Lonchura striata: one gene and its partners. The protein of the gene in region 1 interacts with the protein of each later gene in a biochemical or structural test. Links are inferred from orthologs where the notes say so. Each region holds a gene or a part of one and is shown in the gene's direction. Other genes may lie near its edges.

Evidence for each region.
Region 2: the proteins of CRYAB (region 1) and CS form a complex in vitro, tested with the Homo sapiens proteins (3 studies listed by BioGRID). The link is inferred for Lonchura striata from reciprocal best matches to the Homo sapiens genes CRYAB and CS.
Region 3: the proteins of CRYAB (region 1) and CRYBA1 form a complex in vitro, tested with the Homo sapiens proteins (2 studies listed by BioGRID and IntAct, with this or other methods). The link is inferred for Lonchura striata from reciprocal best matches to the Homo sapiens genes CRYAB and CRYBA1.

The regions. Positions count from the first base shown.
Region 1 is NC_134625.1:9,470,252-9,477,733, reverse strand, and holds the start of CRYAB (alpha-crystallin B chain), read left to right. Parts: upstream 1-4,481; 5' UTR 4,482-4,756; coding exon 4,757-4,954; intron 4,955-5,887; coding exon 5,888-6,010; intron 6,011-7,482. Other genes in the region: HSPB2 (heat shock protein beta-2), read right to left, coding at 1,089-1,540, 2,638-2,731. UniProt on the Homo sapiens protein: May contribute to the transparency and refractive index of the lens. Has chaperone-like activity, preventing aggregation of various proteins under a wide range of stress conditions.
Region 2 is NC_134629.1:5,565,515-5,573,309, reverse strand, and holds the start of CS (citrate synthase, mitochondrial), read left to right. Parts: upstream 1-4,794; 5' UTR 4,795-4,875; coding exon 4,876-4,929; intron 4,930-6,878; coding exon 6,879-6,926; intron 6,927-7,459; coding exon 7,460-7,567; intron 7,568-7,671; coding exon 7,672-7,737; intron 7,738-7,795. Other genes in the region: CNPY2 (protein canopy homolog 2), read left to right, coding at 259-374, 448-645, 756-923. UniProt on the Homo sapiens protein: Key enzyme of the Krebs tricarboxylic acid cycle which catalyzes the synthesis of citrate from acetyl coenzyme A and oxaloacetate.
Region 3 is NC_134622.1:7,632,464-7,640,237, forward strand, and holds the start of CRYBA1 (beta-crystallin A3), read left to right. Parts: upstream 1-4,773; coding exon 4,774-4,986; intron 4,987-4,994; exon of another isoform or gene 4,995-5,044; intron 5,045-5,212; coding exon 5,213-5,263; intron 5,264-7,774. Other genes in the region: MYO18A (unconventional myosin-XVIIIa), read right to left, coding at 1-360. UniProt on the Homo sapiens protein: Crystallins are the dominant structural components of the vertebrate eye lens.

The DNA.
Region 1 (7,482 bases):
GAGGCTGTGAGGGGAGGAATGTCAGGAGATGGCAAAGATTTCCAGAAGAGGCTCTTACCCCGAAATACGTTGGTTCAGCTCTCTTTATTCTGTGATGTCCATGTGGAGAGTGGAGCAAAAGAGGACGAACAGGAAATGTCAGGGGTCTGTACAGACTTTGGACAGGGTGGGCTTCCCTGGCTCTCCCTTGGGGCAGGAAGGAGGGTCCAGGGTTATCAGATTAGAGCCACAGGGTCCCAGGGAAGGGGGCACAGAGTGCCATGAGCTCACTGTAACAGCTGGGGTCTGAGCAGAGCCTCTCCCTTCAGTATTTTGGGTTCAGTCCCCTCACGAAGTTCTGTGTGTGAAGGATGTCCCATACCTGAAGGGCTGAGCAGGCACAGGCTGTGGCTGGGCATTAATTTGTGCCTCATTCACTCAGGCTCCTTCCAGCTGCAGCTCTGGGGATGCTCAGGGACCTTGCAAAGGCTGATCACTCCTCACCTTTTTGTCCTTGAGGTCACTTTTCTCTGGGCTCCCTAAACCAGCAGCTGGGCCAGGGGGTGAGGCCCAGAGGTGGCCACAGTCCCTCCATGTCCCCACGGTGAGCTCAGCCCCAGCTGGGCACTGTCCATCCTCCCTGCTGCACAGGAGCAACACCAATCCAAGGCAAACAGGAGCAGAGCAGAGGCAGGTTTATTCCTCTCTCCTCCTGATTGCTGCAGGCGCTTTTACAGACCAACACCCACCTTGCACAGCCAGGAATCTCAGCCTCCAGCTCAGAAACCAGGCACTGGGATCCCCTTTTCTCTCTTCCCAATACCCTTCTGGGCCAGAGCACAGTCCACTGAGACACAGCCTCACAGTTAAGGGTAGGAATGACCCTGGGGTGAGAGCAGAGCTCCCTTCATGGTCACCTGGCCTAGGAGAAAACTTGCATTACAGTCACTCACACTCACACTTCAGCCCCACTCTTCTTTCCAGTTCCAAGCCCCTTTTGTTCCCAGCATCAGCCTCGGGCAGCAGGAGCGTGGCTGCCTCAGGGCCCAGGGGTCTGGCACTGCGGATTCCCCATCCCTGTCCCCCCCACCTTCCCAGATCTGCGGCCTTTAGGATGTTTCCTTCTCTTTTCCTCCCTCAGCCTGCTCTTCTTCCCCCACTGGCCGCTCCTGCTGGGTTATCTTCACCTCGTTGATTCTCGCCTTCACCTCCTTGCCCGTCCGGGGAGCCACGATGCTCAGGATGCCATCGTGGGACAGGGTGGCCCTGACCAGCAGGGGATCCACGTCCAGGGGCAGGATGTAGGTCCTGGTGAACTCCCTGGAGACGAAGCCGTGGCGGTCGGCCTTCTGCGGGTGCTGCCCCACCACCTCCAGCAGGTTGTCCACGGTGCGCACGCTGAGCTCGTCGGGCAGGAACTGGCACACGTCCAGGAACACCTGGAACTTGTGCTCGTTCAGGCAGATCTCCGAGGTGCCCCTCTCCAGCTGCTTGTTGATCCGGGGCCGGATGTAGTAGCCGTGGTACAGAGCAGGGGCTAAAATCTCCGATGGGGACACACCTGCACAGGAGACTCAGTGAGGAGTTCCAGGGAATGGGGCTGCAGCAGCAGTTTGGGACCTGGAGAACACCTTGGCTCGGCCACATCCCCGCAGCAGGGGTGGAGTCTGCTGCAGTTCCCACCTTTGTGCCCCTAAAACCCACCCAGAGCCACGTCCCTGCCAGCTGCTGCGTGCCACCGAGCTGCCCAGAGTGCCGGCGAGCCCGGGGCTGGCATCCAGCTTGACATGTTGGGCTGCATGGGGAGAACCTGGCGGGTGCCCTGGGAGCTCTGCAGAGCAGAGCCCGCAGCCAGGGGTGGGCATGGAAACTGCTGATGGTGAAGAAACCGCCCTGAAGGGCTAAAGGCCTTTTGTGTGCCATTGTCCACAGGGCTTTCCTTGGAGCTTTTTGCCTTTTCACGCTGTTGTGCTGGTGCTGAATGGTTCTGCTGCTGCCCACATTCCTTCCCCTGGGCCAGCCATGCCCAGCTTTGTGCTGAACGCCCCAGCTCAGCTTTTCTCCACATCCCCCCGGCTGGAAAAGCTTCCCCCCCTGCCCTGAGCTTTGGCTCCATGTTTGCACAGCATGTGCACGAATGCCAGAGCGTGGCTGGCATGAGGGAGGGACGGGACGGGCAGCAGTGGGCATGGATGGGGAAGTGGACATGAAGAGAGAGATCCTGGCTGTTCCCTGGCTATTCCCTGGCTATTCCCTGGTTATTCCTTGCTTATTCCCTGGTTATTCCTTGCTTTTTCCCTGGTTGTTCCTTGCTTTTTCCCTGGCTATTCCCTGGCAATTCCTTGGTTATTCCCTGTCTATTCCCTGGCTATTCCCTGGTTAATCCCTGGCTATTCCTTGCTTATTCCCTAGTTTTTCCCTGGCTATTCCTTGGTTTCTCCCTGGCTATTCCCTGTCTATTCCCTGGTTATTCCCTAGATATTCCCTGCTTATTCCCTGGCTGTTCCCCTCTGATTTGCTCTGGGTTCCTCCACTCAAAATTCCGCAGCTCCAGCTTCCCCCTCTGGAGCTCAAGCTCCCCAGTGGGAATTCCAGCAGCCCTCCAGCAGCAGAGGGGAGAAAGGTGCAAAGAGGGGGGGATCCCACCAACTTCCTTACCTTCTCCAAAGTTCTGGTCGTAGATCTTGCTGGGGTTGGCAAACTCGTACTCAGAGCTCATGGGGTAGGCGTGGGGCACCGTGCGGGCAGCCATGGCGTGTGCAGGATGGGCACCTTCCTTCTTGCTTTCCTTCTTTCCTTCCTTCTTTTCTTCTTTCCTTCCTTCTTTCCTTCCTTCTTGCCTTCCTTCCTCTTTCCTTCTTTCCTTCCTTCTTGCCTTCCTGCCTCCCTTCCTTCCTCCCCAGCCCTCGCTGCCTCTCCGAGTGAAGGCTGCAGGCTGCCAGGCTCCAGCTGGGAGGATTCCAAAGGGAGGAGGCAGTGATAAAAAAGATGGCCCAAAATAGCCCCGTGCAGGCCCCAGGACGCCGGGCCAGGGCGGCGAGGGAAGATTCTCACTGCATTCCAGCAGGGAGGGCAGGGGACACCTCGGGGACACCTTGGGTACACCTTGGGGACACCTCGGGGACACTTCAAGGACACCTCAGGGACATTTCAGGAACACCTCAGGGACACCTCAGGGACATTTCAGGGACACCTCGGGGACCCTCTGGGGGTCCCTTCTGGAGCAAGGGTGCATGGGCAGCCCAGCCCAGCACTCAGGGCTGAGGGAGCAGGACAGACCCCAGGCTGTGGCCACCGAGAGGCTCCTTGGGGTGGCTCAGGGAGCCCCTGGCACTGGAATCGGTGGCCCTGAGCCCCCGTGGGTGGCTGGGGCTTGTTCAGCTCAAACCCCTCCTGTTCCCCACGTAAGAACCCTGCTTTGCCCAGCTGAGCTCAACTCTTCTGCTCCTTTAGGGCTGCAGGGAGTGGAGCAGGGATCCAGGTGCCACTGCTGTCACCTCCCCATGCTGAGCCCTGCTGGCTGCCCAGCCTCTTCCCTTGGCCAGGCCACGGAGAAATGCTGCTGCCAGCCATCCCCAGCTCACCCAGGCTCCGAACCTGGCCCAAATCCAGTTTTGCTGAGCAGGGCTGGTGGGCTGCTGGTGCTGCAGCAGGGCAGGAGTGCCCAGCTGGGTTCTGCACGCCCTGAAACCAGAGATTCCCTGAGCCCTGCAGGGTGGGAGAGCAGGTGCAGTGCTGCTGATGTGACGGGGACTCGGAGAGGGTATTTATGGCCTGGGCTGCTGCACAGAGCAAATCCTGCCCTCTATTCTTGCAGGCAAGCCGAGAGGAAGAGGCTCAGAGCCTTTTGCAAAGGGTTGGCAGAGCTGGCAGTGCCTCTGAGCCAGAAACTGGGTTTAAATTGTGAGCTCTCACGGGCAGAGAAGCTCTTGCCCTTCAGCAGAAGCCAGGCTGAACCCATTCCTGTGATTTGGGCTCACGGGCGAGGCAGGAATTAAAGCAAATGCACGGATTTAGGAGCAGAGCTGCAGGAAAGCAGGTTAGGCAGAGGCAGACAGAGGTGCTCGGCACCCCTGGGTGCAGTACAGTGCCCTGGAGGCCGTGACCATGCCCAGCTTCTCTCTGGGGTCACAGCGTGGGGCTCTTCCCTCCAGAACAACGCGCTCCGCAGCGGCCAAAAGACAAGAGGTGCTGGTGGGGAGACCCATCCTTTATTCCCACACACCACGAGGGCGGCAGGGCTGCACCCTGCAGTGCCAGGATCCCAGCAGAGCCCTCCTGGCACCTCCCTAGCCCCGATTTCGGGGCTCCCTTTGCCGCCGGGACCCGGCGGGTGATGCTGGAGCCGAGTCCCGGGAACAAGGGCCCCTTGTCGCCGTCCCTGTGAGCCAAAGATAGGAGCTGCATTGATCCCGCTGGCATGCAGGGCAGCTGGAACACGGGCCAAACCCGCCCGGGACTGTGGACAAACAGCACGTGGGCAGCGGGGCGGGCGCCGGGCCACTGCGGCTTCTTGCTGCCCCATTGGGCTCCTCTTCTTCCTCTCCCCTTCCCCCTCCTCCTCCTCCTCCTCGGCAGCGTGCACAAATCCCTCAGACAGCTACTGGGCACCGCCGAAGGGCCCAGCCCAGGAGTGGGACAATAAAATCCCTGACACCACTGTTCAAGAGGCCTCGGGGGGGTGGAAGGCCAGGCCAGCTGCGGGGTATAAAGCTGTCCCCGCTCCCGGCACGGCACTGCAGCACAGTTGTTGGCCAGGCTCCTCCAGCGCTCTCCAATGGATATCACCATCCACAACCCCCTGATCCGCAGACCTTTCTTCTCCTGGTTGGCACCGAGCCGTATCTTTGACCAGATTTTCGGGGAGCACCTGCCCGAGTCGGAGCTGCTCCCTGTTTCCCCCAGCTTCAGCCCCTTCCTGATGAGATCCCCCATCCTTCGGATGCCCAGTTGGCTAGAGACAGGACTCTCGGAGGTAATCTTTGCTTCTTTGTGGCTGCTGGGGGCACAGCCTGCTGGCTCTGGAGGCCCAGGAGAGCTGAGAGCTTGGAAGATGCTCCTAGGTGTTGTTTTTTTTTTTTTAGGAGAAAGGCTGGGGGAAAAGGTGCTGTGTTTGCACCTCTGCATTGCTTGGGATGGAGCAAGTCTGGCCATAGCGATGGGAACAGAGCTCAGTGTGCGTGGCAGATCACCCTAGGAGCTGGCAGAGCAAAGGAGGAAGCCTAATTTCCCTAATTTCCCTAATTTCTCTAATTTCCCTAATTTCCCAACCCGCTGCACCAAACTTTCAATCCCACTCCCACATGAGAAGCAAAGAGCACGGGGGCAGTGGGATCCTCACGCCAATGGCTGCTGAGGGAAAAGGGGCCTATTTCAGACAATCCCTGCCCAGGAAAGCAGCTTTTTAATAAAATCCAGGACCCAGAGGATCATGGAGCAGGCGCCTACTCCCTCCAGGGGCTGAGCCAAGAGGCTTTTGCCTGTCCTGCAAGTCAACTGTCTTATTTGCAAGGAGCTTGAGGAGCTATTCCAAGCAGAAGGAGTGAAAGTATTATTTTAATCCTTGCATAATGTCTTTCTTGATTTAGTGACCTCGGTCTGGCTGCCTAGTGAAGCAGCCAAAATAAAGAGTCAGCTTTAAATAAAGAGGCAGTTTTAACCAATTCTGGTGGAGAATCTCAGGTCCTGAAGTGATGGGCATTAACACAAGGCCAGCAAGGGACAGAGCCACTCAGATCAGATCCCAAAATAAGGGTCAGTGTGTGTGTGTATGTGTGTGTGTGTGTAGAGACCAGCGTGAGTCTTGACCTACTGCATTCCTTTTTAAGCTGAAACCCTCACCTGATCTTCCCTGAAGTCACCTCCTGGTTTTTGCTCTTCTCTGAAGTCACCTCCCACTTTTTTGCAGATGCGACTGGATAAGGACAAATTTTATGTGAACCTGGATGTGAAGCATTTCTCCCCTGAGGAGCTGAAGGTGAAGGTGCTCGGGGACATGATCGAGATCCACGGGAAGCACGAGGAGCGCCAGGTACCCCCTGCTTTACCTTCACCACCGAGGGAGTCACTGTGAACTCCCTCCCCTCTGGTGACTGCCAAACAATCCCCTGCTCACCTCAAATATTTGTCATTTTTTTAGTCAAGGTGCTCCATGCAATTCCCCCCAGCTGATCCCAGACAGGGCAGCAAGAGGGTGGAGGTTTATTGCTGATGTTGCATGAGCTGTGAACTGAACTGGAAAATCATCTGTGAAATGGGCATTTTTGGGCTTCCCCTCTTTCTGGGAAGAGGCCAGGAATGCAGGGAGGCGTCCAACGAGCTAAAAATTAACTCTATCAATCAAGCCACGTAATGAATCCGTGCATTGCCCTGTGTGTTACCTTCCCCAGGCCCAGCTAGCAGTTTCTAATCCTTCAAAGTTGTGTTCTGCTGCCATCCATCCCTCTCCCTGCTGGCTCTGGAGACCTGTGTGGACACTGGGCAGGCAGAAACGCAAAGCCGTGCCCAGAGCTGGATGTACCAGCATTTTCCAGTCCCCAGAGCAGCTGTGTCCCTGGAATTGGCACCCCTAGGAGCACAGCGTGCCACCAGGGAGTGCAGTGCTCCCTGTAGCACTGGGGTCTGTGATCCTGGCACCTTCCTGGCATCCTTTTTGGGCTAAGATAAGCAAGCAGTGGGGTCAGGCTTTGAGGTCTCCGGGGCAGGTGTGGTTGTGGACAGCACCTCGGGAATGCCAGCACAGAGCTCAGGGCAGCCTCTGGCTGGCACAGGGGTTGATCTAGTACCGATATCCAACTGTGATGGACAAAAACTCTCTAACAGTTTAAAGTTAGAGAGTGAGTGTTTATTGTGTGTGGGATCGCTCCCAAATCCACATTGTGCCTTACAAGTGATTACAGAGCCCTTTTATCCATACAAGTATTGAATATTTAAAATATAAATACATATTCATCATTTTGGTACATCCCATTCCTCGCTTCCTATGCTAATCATTTCAAAAAGTTATTAAGCATGCATAATTTGTTTCTTGGAATGGGTCGGTGTCCCTTCCATGGGGAGGGGTCCCAAAATGAGGAAGTCAATGAAGTCTTCCTCCTTCTGACCTTTCTACCTTTTCAATGCCAACATGACAAATGAACTTTTGGTAGAACTCCCATTCCTTGTCTTCAGTTGGTTTCAGAGCAGAGGAGGCCCACAATTGTCTGATGTTCCTAAAAGCAATTTATCAGTTTATATTCTTCATTATAAACCCAGCTAACTCAACATTGTGCTGACGAGCAATCAGTTATTAGTTAACTACTAACTCTTAACTTCATCGAGGCCTACTCATTTATTTTAATTAACTCTAGTGAGGCTTATCTCTAACTAAAATCTTAGCTCCTCTAAAATCTCTAAATCCCTTAAAGTTTCTGTTTCAGGGTGGGCACAGAACCTCCCCCTGTAAACTCGGTGTACCCACAGGCACCTGCAGCCCAGGCAGTGTCCTGCTCTCCTTGAAGAGGA
Region 2 (7,795 bases), on another chromosome or scaffold:
CAGCAAGGCAGGACAGAGGGACAGTCCAGGGTGGTGGCACAGGGCTTGGGGATATCCACTGGGACCAGCTGGACCCCCAATGTCCAGAGGGACAGGCTGAGGGTCTCAGGCCGTGGGGACTCCTCCCGCACACCATCCCAGCGTGCCCCAGTCACACCAGTCTGGCCGTGGGCAGCCACAGGAGCACCGTGCCAGGTGCCCCATGTCACCGTGTGGAGCACCATGCCAGGTGCCCCATGTCACCGTGTCCCCTCCCAGCCTGCCGGGCGCTGGTGGACGAGCTGGAGTGGGAGATCGCCCAGGTGGATCCCCGAAAAACCATCCAGATGGGCTCGTTCCGCATCAACCCCGACGGCAGCCAGTCGGTGGTGGAGGTGAGGCCTGTCCCGGCGTCCCGGCTCCCGGCGCCGCTCCCGGGGCCCGCGCTCAGCCCCGCCGGGGCCGCAGGTGCCGTACGCTCGCTCCGAGGCGCACCTGACGGAGCTGCTGGAGCGCGTGTGCGAGAAGATGAAGGAGTACGGGGAGAGGGCGGACCCGGCCACGCAGCGCAAGAGCTACGTCCGCGTCATCTCCCACGACGGCACCAAGATGGACCTTGCCGGGGTCAAATTCGACGGGGACGTCACCTCCAGCCTGAAATTCGCGGTGTGTGAGGGGACAGGGGGGAGGCCGTGGGCCGGCGGCGTCGCCGTGTGTCGCCGTGTGTCGCCGTGTGTCACCGTGTGTCACCGTGTGTCGCCGTGTGGCCGTTGCAGTGCGAGAGCATCGCTGAGGAGTACGAGGACGAGCTGATCGAGTTCCTGTCGCACGAGGCTGAGAACGTCAAGGACCGGCTGTGCAGCAAGAGGACGGGTGAGATGGGGGGCCTGGGGGGCTCTGCTGCTGCTCCCAGGGCCGGGGCTGCGCCGCTGGTGCTGGGCTGAGATGAACTGAAGTGAAGTGAGATGAAATGAGCCGAGCTGAGGTGAAATGAGCTGAGCTGAGCTGAGATGCCAGCCCACAGCAGGAGCTGCTTCTGAGGGTCTCTCCTGCTGTTCTTGGGGTCTCTCCTGCTCCATCAGTGCTGGGATGGCAGGAGATACCAGCCCAGAGCAGAGGCTGTTCCCGAGGGTCTCTCCTGCTGTCCCTGGGGGTCTCTCCTGCTCTTCTGGGGGTCTCTCCTGCTCCACTGGTGCTGGGATGGGATATGCTGCCAGCCCAGAGCTGGGGCTGTTCCAGGGGGTCTCTCCTGCTCTTCTGGGGGTCTCTCCTGATCCGTCACTGCTGGGATGGGAGAAGATGCCAGACCAGAGCTGGGGCTGTTCTTGGGGGTCTCTCCTGCTGTTCCTGGGGGTCTTTGCTGCTGTTCCAGGGTTTGTGGCTGCTCTGTTGGTGCTGGGATGGGATTTTCTGCCAGCCCAGGGCAGGGTCTGTCCCAAGGGTGTCTCTCCTGCTGTTCCTGGAGGTCTCTCCTGCTGTTCCAGGGGTCGTGGCTGCTCTGTCAGTGCTGGGATGGGATTTTCTCCAGCCCAGAGCAGGGAGGAGCTGCAAGTTCTTCCCCAAATCCCAGCACCCCATCGCAGAGCCCGGAGCCTGCTGGCACCGGGGTTGTTTCGGGATGCTGGGGCCGAGCCAGGGCAGCTGCTGTGCTGACTCTGTGGCCTCTCCTGGCACATCCAATGGCCCTGTCCCACTCTGGGGCTATTTCCAGCTCACAAACACCCAGCTCAGGGCACGGGGTGACCTTTGGGGCCCCGCAGTGCTGGATGGGGCAGGTCCCTGCGTACCTGGCACGGCTGTCAGGGCGGTGCTGTGCCCCAGGGGGATCCTGAGGGTCTCCACAGCTGCTCCCGGGGCTCCTCCTGTGGCGTGGGGGCTGGAGCAGGGACAGGCCAGGCTGTGGCTGTGTCCAAGCAGCCGCATTTGTCATTAACCACAGGACAGAGGCGGGGAAATGCCGCTGGCCCGGCTCAGGGCACAGCGGGGAGCGGTCCTGGGAGGGGACAGGGCAGCAGGGGGGGTCCCACGGGGCTGGGACGTGTCCTGGGGGTCCCATGGGGCTGTGATGTGTCCTGGGGGTCCCACAGGGCTCCAGCACTGGGGGTCCCACGGGGCTGGGATGTGTCCTGGGTGTCCCACGGGGCTGGGACGTGTCCTGGGGGTCCCACGGGGCTGGGACGTGTCCTGGGGGTCCCACAGGGCTCCAGCACTGGGGGTCCCACGGGGCTGGGATGTGTCCTGGGTGTCCCACGGGGCTGGGACGTGTCCTGGGGGTCCCATGGAGCTCCAGCACATCCTGGGGGTCCCACGGGGCTCTGATGTGACCCGAGGGTCTCACAGGGTTGTCATATCCTGGGGGTCTCGTGGGGGTCTGGTGCACCCAGAGGGTCCCACAGGGCTCCAGCACTGAGGGTCCCACGGGGCTGCTGTGTCATGGGGGTCCCATGGGGGTCCAACACATCCTGGGGGTTCCACCAGGGCTGCCTTGTCCTGGGGGTCTCCTGGGGGTCCCGTGGGGCTCCAGCACATCCTGGGGATTTTCTGGGGGTCCCGTGGGGTTCCAGCACATCCTGGGGGTCTCCTGGGGGTTTGGTGCATCCTGGGGGTCCCCCGGGGCTCCAGCACACCCCGATTGTCCCCCCTCGTTTGTCCCCGCAGACCTGTGTGACCACGCGCTCCACATCCCGCACGATGAGCTGTGACTGCTCCGGAGCGGGCACCGGGACCCACCGGGACCCACCGGGACCCGCTGGGACCCACCGGGACCCGCTGGGACCCACCGGGACCTGCTGGGACCCACCAGGACCCACTGGGACCCACCAGGACCTGTCAGGATGGCCCCGGGACCCTCCGGGACCCACCGGGACCCGCCGGGACGGTCCTGGGACCCACTGGGACCCACCAGGACGGCCCCGGGACAGACGGATCTACCGGGATCTCCATGGCTCCGGAGCTGCTGCCTCGCCCCGTTCAGAGCTCCCATCCTGTTTATTCCCCGTGGGGGCCACCGGGACGGCCACGGGGCCACCGGGACATTTCAGGGACATTCCTGCCCGGTGCCGGGGGACGCGGGGGACGCACCGGGCTCAGCCCCCGCGGGGTGGGGGTTTGGGAGCCCCCCTCCCTTTGCAGGCAATAAAGGGGCCATGGGCCCACCCGAGGCAGCCGTGCTCCCGTGGGTGGGGTGGGGTGGGGGACAGCAGCGTCCCCACGTGTCCCCGTGTGTCCCCACGTGTCCCCACACGTCCCCGTGTGTCCCCACGCGTCCCCACATGTCCCCACGCGTCCCCGCTGGCTCGGGGGCAGCGCTCACCCCCGCGGGGCTCAGCCCGTGGCTCTGTGTCACTCCGTGTCACCCCAAGTCCCCCGCTGCAGGGCCACCACGGGGGTTTGGCCCCACGTCACCCCCGTGTCACCCGCCGTGGGGTGCCGGCCCTCCGGGGTGTCACCCGGTGTCACCCGGTGTCACCCCACCCCGCCCGTGCGCAAAGGGCGCTGGGAGGGTTCTGGCCTCTCTGCCATGGCCCGTGTCACCTCATGTCGTCACCTGGCCCGGGGACAGGAGCAGCCGCAGGGCTCTGCCCCTCTTCGGCACCGCCGCCGCCGCGTGTCGCTCAGTTGTGTCACTCCGTGTCGCTCGGTTGTGTCACTCCATCTCACTCGGTCTTGTCACCCTATGTCACCCCGTGTCACCCCATCATGTCATTCCATGTCACCCCATCGTGTCACCCCATCGTGTTGCCCCATTGTGTCACTCCATCATGTCAGCCCCTGTCACCCCATGTTGCCCCATGTCACCCTATTGTGTCACCACCCCGTGTCACCCCATGGTGTCACCCTATGGTGTCACCCTGTGTCACCCCATGGTGTCACCCCATGGTGTCACCCTCTGTCACCCTGTGTCACCCCATGGTGTCGCCCCATGGTGTGACCCTCTGTCACCCCGTGTCACCCCATGGTGTCGCCCCATGTCACCCCATGGTGTCACCCTCTGTCACCCTGTGTCACCCCATGGTGTCACCCCATGTTGCCCCATGGTGTCACCCTCTGTCACCCTGTGTCACCCCATGGTGTTGCCCCATGGTGTCGCCCTCTGTCACCCTGTGTCACCCCATGGTGTTGCCCCATGTCACCCCATGGTGTCACCCTATTGTGTCACCCTGTGTCGCCCCATGGTGTCACCCCATGGTGTCACCCTCTGTCACCCTGTGTCACCCCATGGTGTCGCCCCATGGTGTCGCCCTCTGTCACCCTGTGTCACCCCATGGTGTCGCCCCATGTCACCCCATGGTGTCACCCTATGGTGTCACCCTGTGTCGCCCCATGTCACCCCATCGTGTCGCCCGTTGCTCCGGGCTCAGCGGGGACTCTGACGTCACCACCGCCCCTCAAGCCACATCCAATCGCCCCAAGCCACGGTGGCCACATGCGGGATGACGTCACGGGCTCCTGTGACCTCATACCGCCCGGCTGCGCGTCTGTGACGTCACGGGGCTGCCCCCACCCCCGCTGCCGAACCCCACCGGGACACCGGGCCGTGACGTCACGCGCCGCGGCCGGTGACGTCACGAGACGGGGCGGGCACCCCCTCACCCCACCCCTGGCCCTGATCAGGCGAATGCGGCGGCCACCTATAGCCTGCGCCCCCCGCCACTTCATTAGCGTGGCCCCGCCCCGCGGCGCGCCGCTTGGCCAATAGCAAACGGCTCTGCCCCGGGAGGGGGCGGGGTTATGCTAATGAACAGCGCCGCGCTCCGCCCCGCCCTCACGTTGAGGACCCCCGGCCGCCGCCGCTCCGGCCCCGCTCCCGCCCCGGCCCCGCTCCCGGTCCCGGCCCCGCTCCCGGTCCCGGCCCCGGCCCCGTTCAGTCCCGGCCTGTCCCGCCCCGGTACCGCCATGACGCTCCTCGCCGCCGGCAGCCGGGCGGCCGCGCGCCTCCGCGGGCCCAAGGTGAGCGCGCCCGGCCCGGCCTCGCCGCGCCTTAAAGGGGCGACGCCGCGGGGGGAAGGGAGAGCGGGGGGGGTCCGGCTCTTAAAGGGGCGACGCGGGGGGCGCTGCCTTAAAGGGGCCGCGCGGCGGAGGGGGGGATGGGACCGGGGGGACCGGCATCGCGACCGGGACCGGCACCGGCATCGGGACCGGGGTGGGCGCGGGGCCGCGGCCGCAGCACGTGGCGGCAGCCGGCGCCCGGCGCTCCCGCCGCAGCCTTCCCGGAGCCGGGGGTAACCGGGAGTGGCTCGGGGGGGCTCCGGTTCGTGCCCGGGGAGCTCCGCTGGTGCCTCAGCCCCGTGCGGGGGTCCCCGCCCCGGGGCAGCCCCGCTGGCGGTTCCGGTTCCTCGCTGTGCAGCGCTGGGCTTGGGGGGTCCGGGACGACCCCCGGGACCCCGCGCCCGGTGGCACCGGCAGTGGGGGGGGTGGAGGCGGGGACCGTCCCCTCCGCCGCCGCCCTTCCCCAGCGTCCCGGTGCCGTAGAGGACACCGGGGTCACAGCGGGAGGACCCCCGTGCTAGCCGAGCGCCGGTACCGGGCCGGAGCGGCCCCGACCCCTCCGTTCTGTTTGGCTTGGCCGCGGCCCCGGCGTTTCGTAACGGGCGTTGCGGTGTCTTTATCGACCGGGCGATATTTTGGGATATTCGCCATGCCCCACTTGGCCCTGCTCTCCCCTCAAAACGGGCGGACCGGAGCCGCCCCCCTGGCTTGAGCCGTGATCCCGGCCTTCCTCCTCCTCCTCCTCCTCCTCCCCGCACCCCCGAGCGCAACGGGAGCCCCGGGACGGTCCCGGTGTGGCCCCGCGCTCCCCCCCCGGCCGGTGCCCGGTGTCACCGCCAACACGTGTGACCTTGAGCCAGCGGCACCTCGGTGGCAGCGGGACGAGCCGTGGGGACCCCCAGAACGGGGCGACACCGGGGGCGACACCGGGGCTGGCACGGTGGGGGTGGCGGGGCGGCAGCGGCCGCCTTGACCTTGGGCTTCTCGCTGCCGCCTCCATTGTTCCGTTTCCCGTTCCCGGAGCCGCCTGTTGCGGGGGAACGCGGCCTCGCCACCCGCCGCGGCCACACCCGGCACACCGGGGACCCCCGCCCGGGCCGGGGGACACCGGGGGACACCGGGGGGCTTCTCTGCAGCGCGGCCCCGCCGCGTCCTCCCGGCGGCCGGCGGAAAAACCGAGTCATGTTCCGGCTCTGCCGCAGGCGCTGCCGCAGCTGCGGCCCCGGGAGCTCCGGGCGTCCCTGGGGATGGCAGCCCCGGTGTGCCCCGGTGTCCCCCGGTGTGCCCCGGTGTCCCCCGGTGTGCCCCGCTGTCCCCCGGTGTCCCCCGGTGTCCCCCGGTGTGCCCCGGTGTGCCCCGGTGTGCCCCGCTGTCCCCCGGTGTGCCCCGGTGTGCCCCGTGCCAGGCCTGGGCTGTGTTCCCGGGGTGTCCCCGCCGGGCCGGAGTCCCCGCGGTTCCCGGTTCCCACGCGTGGGCGAGGAACAAAGTTCGGATTCCCCGGCTCAGGAAAACCGCCGGGCGCGGCTCCAGGAAGGAGAACGCGGCCGCGTTCCCCGTGCCAGCTCCGGCCCCGGCTGCGAGGGCAGCACGGGGCTGATCCCGGCCGCTCCCGGTCCCGCTGCTCCCGGTCCCGCTGCTCCCGGTCCCGCTGATCCCGGCCGCTCCCGGTCCCGCTGCTCCCGGTCCCGCTGCTCCCGGTCCCGCTGATCCCGGTCCCGCTGATCCCGGCCGCTCCCGGTCCCGCCGTTCCCGGTCCCGCTGATCCCGGCCCGGCCCCGGCCCCGCCGTTCCCGGCTCCGAGCCGCGCCCGCGTGGGCGAGTGAAGCGGCTCCGGCGTCCCTGGGAGCCGGGTCTCAGCCTCGTGTGGCTGCCCCGGTGACAGGGGGGTCTCTGTGTCCCTTGTCCCGCAGAACGCTCCGTGTGTCCTCCTGGCCGCTCGCCACGCCAGCGCCGCCACGGTAAGGGGACAGGGGGGTCCTGTCCCGTGAGCCCGGTGCTGTCACCCGGTGCTGTCACCCGGTGCTGTCACCCGGTGCTGTCACCCGTTCTCCTGCCTCTCCTGAGACCCTCTCCAAGGGGATGCCCGTCACTTGTCATCCTCTTTCCTGTCCCAGTCTCTCTTGTCACCCTCTTTGCCATGAACCCCTCTCCTGTCAGCCCATCCTGTCACTCTGCTCTAATGGGAGTTCCCTCTCCTGTCACCCCCTTTCCTGTCACCCCCTCTCCTGTCACCCCCTCTCCTGTCACCCCTCTTCAAGGGGAGCACCCTCCCTCATCACCCTCTCTCCTGTCCCCCCCTTTCAGCCCCTGTTCTATCACCCCTTCTCCTGTCCCCGTTTCCTGTCCCTGTCTCTGTTGTCACCCTCTTTCCTGTCACCCCTCTCCACGGGGAGTCCCCTCTCAGCTGTCACACCTTTTCCTTGTCCCTCCTCTCCTGTCCCCCCCGTCCTGTGCTCAGCCCCGGTCTCACAGCCCTGTCCCCTGTCCCCAGAACCTCAAAGACGTCTTGGCCACCATGATCCCCAAGGAGCAGGCGAAGATCAAGAGCTTCCGGCAGCAGCACGGCAGCACGACCATCGGGCAGATCACGGTGGACATGGTGAGTGTGTGGCCAAACCGGGGTCACCGGGGCCACACCGGGGCCAAACCGGGGCCACCGGGCCCTGCCACCGCCCCTCACTGCAACCTCCCGGCTCCCTCCAGGTGTACGGCGGCATGAGGGGCATGAAAGGGCTGATCTACGAGACCTCCGTACTGGATCCTGACGAGGTAGGGCCCCGTCCCCCCTGTACCCCCTGTCCCACCCCACCCCATCCCCCTGTCCCAC
Region 3 (7,774 bases), on another chromosome or scaffold:
GGCTGCCCGCTGCAGCACCGAGCCCTTGAAGTTGGTATCGTCCGCCTTGAGATCGTCGCTGGAGCTGGCCGTGCTCAGGTGGCCCGAGTCCAAGATGACGCTGCCCCGGTTGCTGTCAGAGTCAATATCTGTGAGGTGCAGCTCAGAGCCACTGGCCACTTTAATGGGGATGGGGTTGGAGATCTCCAGGCGGGTCTTGGAGTCCCGCTTGGAGGCACGGTTGAGGTTGAAGAAGCCCCGGCGCATGCTCATCTCCTCCAGGCTCTTGAGTTCAGCTGCTGACATTCGCTCCTTTTTCTCCTTCTTCTTCTCCTTCCGGGCCCCATCCTTCTCTTTGTCCTTCTTCATCAGGTTGAACATGGTGGATGGGGGCTCGGGGCACTCTTGCCCTCACGGCAGGGCACTGGGCTGGGGCGCCGGTCACAGCACAGCCGCCTGTGCAGAAGGACAGACAGGAAGGGTGCCATCAGAGAGCAGCATGCCCAACACCCACCCGCCACCCCTCCATCCACTGGTCACCCCAGCTGCCACCCCCAGCCCCTGAGCTGAGTATGTTCCAGCATTCCCACTCTCCCTGGGGACTGCAGCATCACAGGGCTCAGACTGCCCCAGTCCATGTGTCCTCGCCCTGGCTGGGCATCAAGCCCCAGGGATGCAACAAGGATGGCCCTGTACCCCCAGGGTTGCCCCAAAAGAAGCCCAGAAGCCTGGCAGTGCCTGGCAGTAGAGCTGACTGCAGGCAAGACCCTCAGCACCTCAAGAGCTCTTTTGGAGCAGCTTGGGTGGGCAGGGAAGAAAATATCCTGGTGGCTTTTGCAGCAGTTTCTGCTGGCAGGGACACTCCCCAGGGTAAAACCCCCATCCAATCCAACCACCAACGTCCTGCCTGCTGTTCAAAAGCCCCTTGTTGAGGAAACAGAGGCCTTTCTGCTGCTCATCCCAGCTCTGGCCACCGCAAACCACAGGGGCTGCCGTGGGCAGTGTCCCCACCAGGGAGGAGCCGGAAACACGGCCTGGAGCGAAGGTTGCTCTAATAAACAGGAACCTGTAAAATCACATCCCTCCCAACACTGATAAGTGTCTAATTTTAGCCAGGGCGACGCAGAGGCTCGTGACGCTGCCGGCGACCTCCAGGAACAGTGGCTCTTTCATTTGGGCATCCTGCGCAGAGCGGGGGGGAGCACCCAGTGCCAGTGGGAAAACCATGGCTGGGCAGAAAACACAGCTCCCTCCTGGAAAACCCCATGTGCACCCAGTGCTTGGGGACACCCCGTGCCTGGGGGCACCCACAGCCTCACCCTGCATGGGGTGTTACAGCACTCCTCTGTCCCTGGGGTAACAGGCAGCCCCCCCCAGCCTCCATCGAACGCTTGGGCTGTGGATAAACAACTCCAAAGTGGAGCAGGCGGCTGGCAGCACCCGCAGGACGGGCTGACAGCTATATATAACAGGGCAGGAAACTGCACAGGAACTTAACCTCAGCACAAAGGACAACAGGAAAGCTCCCCACGTTTGAAGCATCTGCTTTAGAGCTCTCCGACGGGTGTGGGGATGAGGTTTGGGCAGCCACAGGGATGAGCAGCGCTGCCCACGGTGGCAGTGCAGGCTCTGCCCGGGTTGCATGGATGTGCTGTTCTGTGCCAAGCTGCACCTTGGCTCCAGCACAGCATCAGTACTGCATCACCATCACTGCCTGGACCATCTCCTTGCAAGGGCACATGGTCTCCACTGTCCTTGAACACACCCAGTGGGACAAGGGAAACCCATTTTCCCCTTGACAAAGCCACACGGGGATGGCAGGGAACTCCCTGCCCCTCGGGGCTGGGACAGAAGCACATGTGCCCGAGAGAGGCCTGGCCACAGGGCAGGTGAGGACAGAGCCCTGCAAGCCATGGCACAGTGTTGGGTGTGTGATACCTCTGAGGCAGTGAGGGGAAGCAGCCTGAGGGACAAGGTCAGGCTTGCAGCTGCAAGGCTCCTGGCCATGGCCAGAAGGGCTGCCACAGTTGTGCCACACCACCCAGCCCCAGGGCTCTGGCTGCTCTGCCCTCCCTGCAGCAACTGGGGCTTGACTCAGACCCACAGCAGGACCTGGGAAGGGCAGAGCCCCAAAACATGAAAACAACCCGTTTCCTTTCTCCTCTCCCAGAACTGCTGGCAGTGGGGTGATCCCTGACCCGAACCAGGGGACAGGACAGCTCCTTCTCAAGACCCACATCAGGTGCTGCCACAAAGGGCACCATGGCTGTGCCATGCTGGGGGCTGCTCCCCTGTGCCAGGGCCTCAGCACAGACAATGGCAAGGAGGAAACAACCTGCACCTGCTCCTGTCCCCCCGCATGACACGTGCCACCACTCCCATAGCTGCTTGGGCATCCTTGAAGCTGTACAAAAGGGCTGCACCCCTGGGAGCACCCAGTGCTCACCCCACGGCAGGGAGGGGGCTGCTGGGATCCTTCTGGGGGTCCCTTGGAGCAGAGGCCCTCGCCAGGCAGGTGCTGGTTAGAGCCACGGCGCCAGGAGACAGGCGGCCAGCACGCTCTTTGTCCTCGGTGGTTTCTCTCCCAGCACACAGGCTGCCTCCCAGCCTTTGTACGCTCAACAAAAAGGGGGAACAGCGTTCCCAGCCGCATCGCTAATCAGGCAGCGCTGGCGGCCACTGCCGCAGCCACGTGTGCCCCACGCAGGGCCACAATGGGCAGCAGTGGGGCAGGGAGACTTGTGTGGGCTGGGGAAAGGACCGCAGCATCCGCCCTGCACCCATGTCCCCAGCCCGTGTGGAATGCCGTTGTGGTTTGCTCCCTTTTCCCCAAGAAGCCTCCCGCCACGGATGGGTGCAGCCCGATGCCGTGAGCAGGAGGTGGCTGCCGAGCGTCTCCTCGCTCTGATTCAGACCCAACTCGCCTTCCCTGACTCAGCCCGGGCTTGCTCCGGGACTCCCCTTGGCCAGGCGTGTTTGGGGCAGCGGCGTGCATGAGCCGTGACAGGGAAGGGAGAGGCACCCGCCGGCGCCGGCTGCGCTCCGGGATCGCACGCGAGGATGCTGCTGTGCCACTGGGCTGGCAAAAGACGAGGACGTCACCTTGGAAGGGCCAGATGGCAGAAATGGAGACACATCTCAACGCTCCCCGAGCCAAAAGTCCCCTCTGAGCCGCCCAAGCAGGAGCTGGATGCACCTTCCCCCATGTCCCCCCAAACAGCCGTGAGCCCCTGTGTCCCTGCCAGGGCGCCGGGGTGTTCCAGGCAGGGAGGAAGGCGTTCACTGAAACTCCCAGCCACTCCTTCCCTCCTCGAGACGCAATCTCGTCCGACACGCTCCCGCGCAGGGACCTGCACGGCAAGTTTCACGGTCGCCTGACCTCCCCGCTCTGCTCCCTGATGCTGGCAGCAGTAGAGCTGTGCTCCCACACCACTTTGGCTGTCCCCTCCTTGGGCACACCATGCTGGGGTACCTCATGCCCTGGCTATGCCCAGCCAGGAAGGGATGATGCCATGCCAGGGAGCGGGAGCTGCTGGCAGCGATTCCGAGCAGCCAGGCCAGCTCCTACGCAGGGCAAATGGGAGCTGACCTGCATGATGGCTCCTTACTGGACACAAGTTTTCCACAGAACAAGGAAATTTAGGGGGTTTCCAAATCTCTCTGCCTTCCCTTATGGACAACGCTGCAATGTGTCAAGAGGAAAACAATCCCGGATCTACCCGAGTCACAGCCAGGATGTGCCACCAGCTCTCCCCAGAGCAGGACTTCAGGCCCTCCTGCTGCAGGAACCCATGTCCAACAGCAAAGGGGACCCACACTGGTTACGAGGGGTCACCCCAGGCCAAGAGGGTGCATGGGGCGCAAGCACCTACCTTGCCCCAAAGCTGGGCAATGACACAGCTCAAGAGGTCTTACAGGGTAGACCCAGAGGTAGTGGGGCAGGATCTTGGCAGGGCTGCCAGGTGAGATATGGTTCCATAACCAGCTGGAGGGGTCAGGTGGGTTGCAGCCGCCTCAGCACAGCTGCCTCATCACCCTTATCTGGCCCCAAATTCACAGCCTGGCTCCCTGCGTGGCCCAGCCCACGGCAAAGGTGAAGGGCCGAGCCACAGCTCGTCAGTGAGCAAAGTCCAGGGCTGATGCAGGTGCTGTGGGAACACCCAGCTCTGGATGGCAGCTGAGATGGGACAGTGGGCAGTGGTCCCCCAGTGCCAGAGTGCCAGGGCCAGCCTTGGGGTGTAGGAATACACTGCCATGTGCCCACACTTTCCTGTAATTGCCCTAAGTTTAGCTCTGGCAATCGCTGACCAGACAATTTGCATTTCACAGGCCGGCTGGAAACCACACGATTTAGGGACGCGCGTCCCAGCCCTCGCCCGATGCTCCGTATATTCCTCTCCGGGAAAATTAACAGGCACTGGGGTGGGCACAGCCTTGAGAGCCGCCACCACCCCCAGCACAGCAGCTTGCCGAGTGCCACCCACCCCTGTCACTCTAAAAAGGTGGCTCAGGTGCCAGCGGCACCGGGGGATGCGGTTAGCGGCGAGCCGGGCTAATGGCTTGGGATGCAATTCCCCGGCGGTGTGGGAAAGGCCCAGGCCAGCGGCTTCTCCTGGAAGCGGGGCTGGCCCTGGGGACTCCTGCAGCGGGTGCTGGGCTACCCAGCGCGGAGCACCTGGCGCGGGGCCACCGCACGCAGAAGCACACCCTGCACAAGGTGACACACGCACACACACGCACGCAAACGCGAGTGACACCGGGGGCTGCACGGGCGCTGCCAGACAAGAGCGGGCCATGCGCACACCCACGCCCGCAACCGGGGGGCGGCACCGAGGGCTCCGCACCCACCCCGCCACCCACCTCCAGTTGTGCAACCGCGGGGGCACGGCGCAGCTCGGCCCGGCCCGGCCCGGCCCGCCGGGGGGGCGATGCCGCCGCGGCCCGCCCCGCGCCGGGCGGTGGTGCCGGTGCGGGCGGCCGGGGCCGGTCCCGGTGGCGTGGCGGCGGGTACTCACCCGGGGCGGCGGCGGAGCGGGGCCCGGTGGCGGCGGCGGCGGTGCCGGGCCCCGGCGGCGGCGCGGGGCGGGGCGGGGCGGGGCGGCCCCGCACCGGGGCGGGCACTGCCGGCTCTGCGCGCGCCGCCCGCCGCGCCGGGCGCGGCTCCGCTCGCCGCGGGGAGAAGCGGAGCGGAGAGGCGGTGCTGCCCACCCGGGAGCCCCGCTGAACCCCCTAGCCCGGCTGTAGCCACCGCACGGACCGGCGCCCGCAGCCCGGCGCGCAGCCGGTATCGCCGCAACCGCCCGCGCACACCGGGGGTGGCCCCGCAGCCCCCCGCAGACGCACAGACGGTGTGTGCGCTCCCCCGGTGTGACTCGGTGACACTCCGTCCATCCCGCACTCCCCGCACTCACACCCCCCGCCCCCCGATACACTCACATGTTGTGAGCTCGCCCTGGTGCTCACGCAGCCCCATCGCACAATGCACACACGCACTCCTGGGGTTCTCCTGTTCGGAAGAATCCCATCAGGAACAGCGCTGGATCCAGGCAGGGAAGGCTCCAGGCTGCCGGCTGGAGCAGGGTGATGGGTGCCTGCTGGCCCCAGTGCACGGAATACAAAGCTGGCCATGGCAGAGCTGGCTGTGGAGCCATTCTGCAGCTTCTCCCGCAGCACCTGTCCCCAGCGAGGGCTGTCACACTGACTGTGAGGACAGTGGCTGCTCTGCCCAGGAGACAGCCCAGGGTTAACAATGAGCATCTCCCAGCACAGCCAGCAGCGAGGGCAGCACAGTCTTTGTTACACCCCTTCCACTGGTGTCCAGCTTTGGGACGTCACGCCGTGGTTGGTCACGTACAGTGAGAATCCTGGGACAGATGATTTCAGGATAAGCTCTGCCATATGAGTGCTGGGACAACCTCCCTTCCTATGGGGTGTGGGAGCAACTGGGCCCAGGGAAGCTGGAGTGGAGCTTTGGGAACAGGGAACCCCGAGAGAGGTATCCACAAGCACTTTCCAAAAGCAATTTTCAGGCAGTGCTCAATCTCTGTTTGGGAAGCTCAGGGAGATTACAGGGACAGTCCCCTGCCCAAGGGGACTCTCTCCAAACCCCTGCTGCAATCCTACCGTTGCTGGCTGAGTTGTATGGTCCTGGCTCTCCTACCATCAGGCTGTGAGCCACTCTTGGGACACGCCTGTCTGGGTCTCACAAGCCCCACTCGCTCACAGAGGTAAAGCTGGCTGTGATTTCCAGCCCACAGCCCATGCCCAGGACACGGTCCCACAGCAGCAGCAGAGCAGGACACATGGGGCAGGGCAGAGCAAGCTGGCAGCTCAGCAAGGAGCACTGTGCTGGGCCCCGGCCCGAGGGATGCAGTGGTGGAGGAGATGCAGCCCTTGCAGGGGCGGAGGAAGGCGGCAGTGAGCACAGCCGCCTGCTTTTGTCACACTGTCCTTTGTCCCAGGCACGTGGCACCAAGTGCAGGGAGCCGCAGCCATGCGGAGAGCAGGGATGGGGTCGAGTGATCTGGAAGGGCAGCAGAGCCCGCCTGAGCTTTCAGGAGGGTTTTCCAGCTGCGGTGGCGAGGGGACACGCTGTGTGGCTGTACGTCTGCCCTGCTGCCCGTCACAGGCGGGTGAACAGCCACGTACAGCCTGTGGCAGCTCCTGCTTCCTTATCACGCTGGGCAGGTGGTGATGGGCTGATGCCGGTTGGAACTGCCGAGCTGTGGGACAGCACAGGGTCCCCAGAGCCACACAGCCCTGCCACCAGCAGCCACCCACTGGGGCCACTCTCCTGCCGCATCCCCAGAGCTAAACACCCTGTGTTTTCCAGCAAACTGACCAGCTGTTCCTGTCCACATGATCCCATCTGACTTTGTCAGAAACAGGTTGGGTCGCCCTGAGCAGCTCTCCCTGGCAGAGAGTTCCCCAGGCACCAGCAAATCCCACATCCAAGGAAATTCTCTGTGTTGCCCAGGGTTTTCTATGGAGAAGCAGGACAGAGCTCTGGTGCCAGTGGTATTTTGTGTACCCCTGGCAGGCGCACATGGCTGGCCAGGACAAGGGCCTGGAGCCGGGCTGGGAGGGGAAGCATCTGTTTTGCAGCACCGCGGGGTTCCCTAAATAGGTCACTGCATTTTTATAGTCTCTTGGATCTAGAAAAACCAGTTGTTCTGGACAACCTGTGGACCCGCCAGCATCACTGGCTCCCCAGGCACTTGCTGCTGTGCTCCCAGGTCCTTGGTGGGGACACCTGCCCCACCAGCAGGGTGAGGGGTTGGGGGGTCTGCAACAGCTTGGGCCATACTGGGGTCCTGTTGTCTGCATCCCCAGCCGTGAGCAGAGTTGGGCTGTGCAGGGGGGGCTTTCCCCCCACCTTGCCACTGTTTTGGGGTGGCTGCCAGCTCCAGGCTTTGCTCTGGGGTGTTTTTCAGCCAGAGACGGCTTTCCTGTTGCAAGGGGAGGCAGGTGTCTGTGCGGGGCGCAGAGGGGTGTGCAGTGCCACACACCCACCGTACAGCCGCTGGTGACCCATCCTGCTCGGGCTGAGCTCTCCCTCTAGTGGCACCAGGCTCCGGGCAAAGCCTCCACACAGCCGTGACCAGGGCATGTCCGAGGGGCTGGAGTGAGCTCCAAGCTGACCTCTCCCCTCGCCAGGATGCCCCCGGCAGGTGCACAGGGACTGTGCTGGGTAGGCTTCGCAGGAGCATCCCACCACCAACCCCCCACTTTGGCATCCTTGCAGAGGACAGGAGGTTCCGCCCTTCCCCTTCCCTGACCCAAATTTGCTGGGATG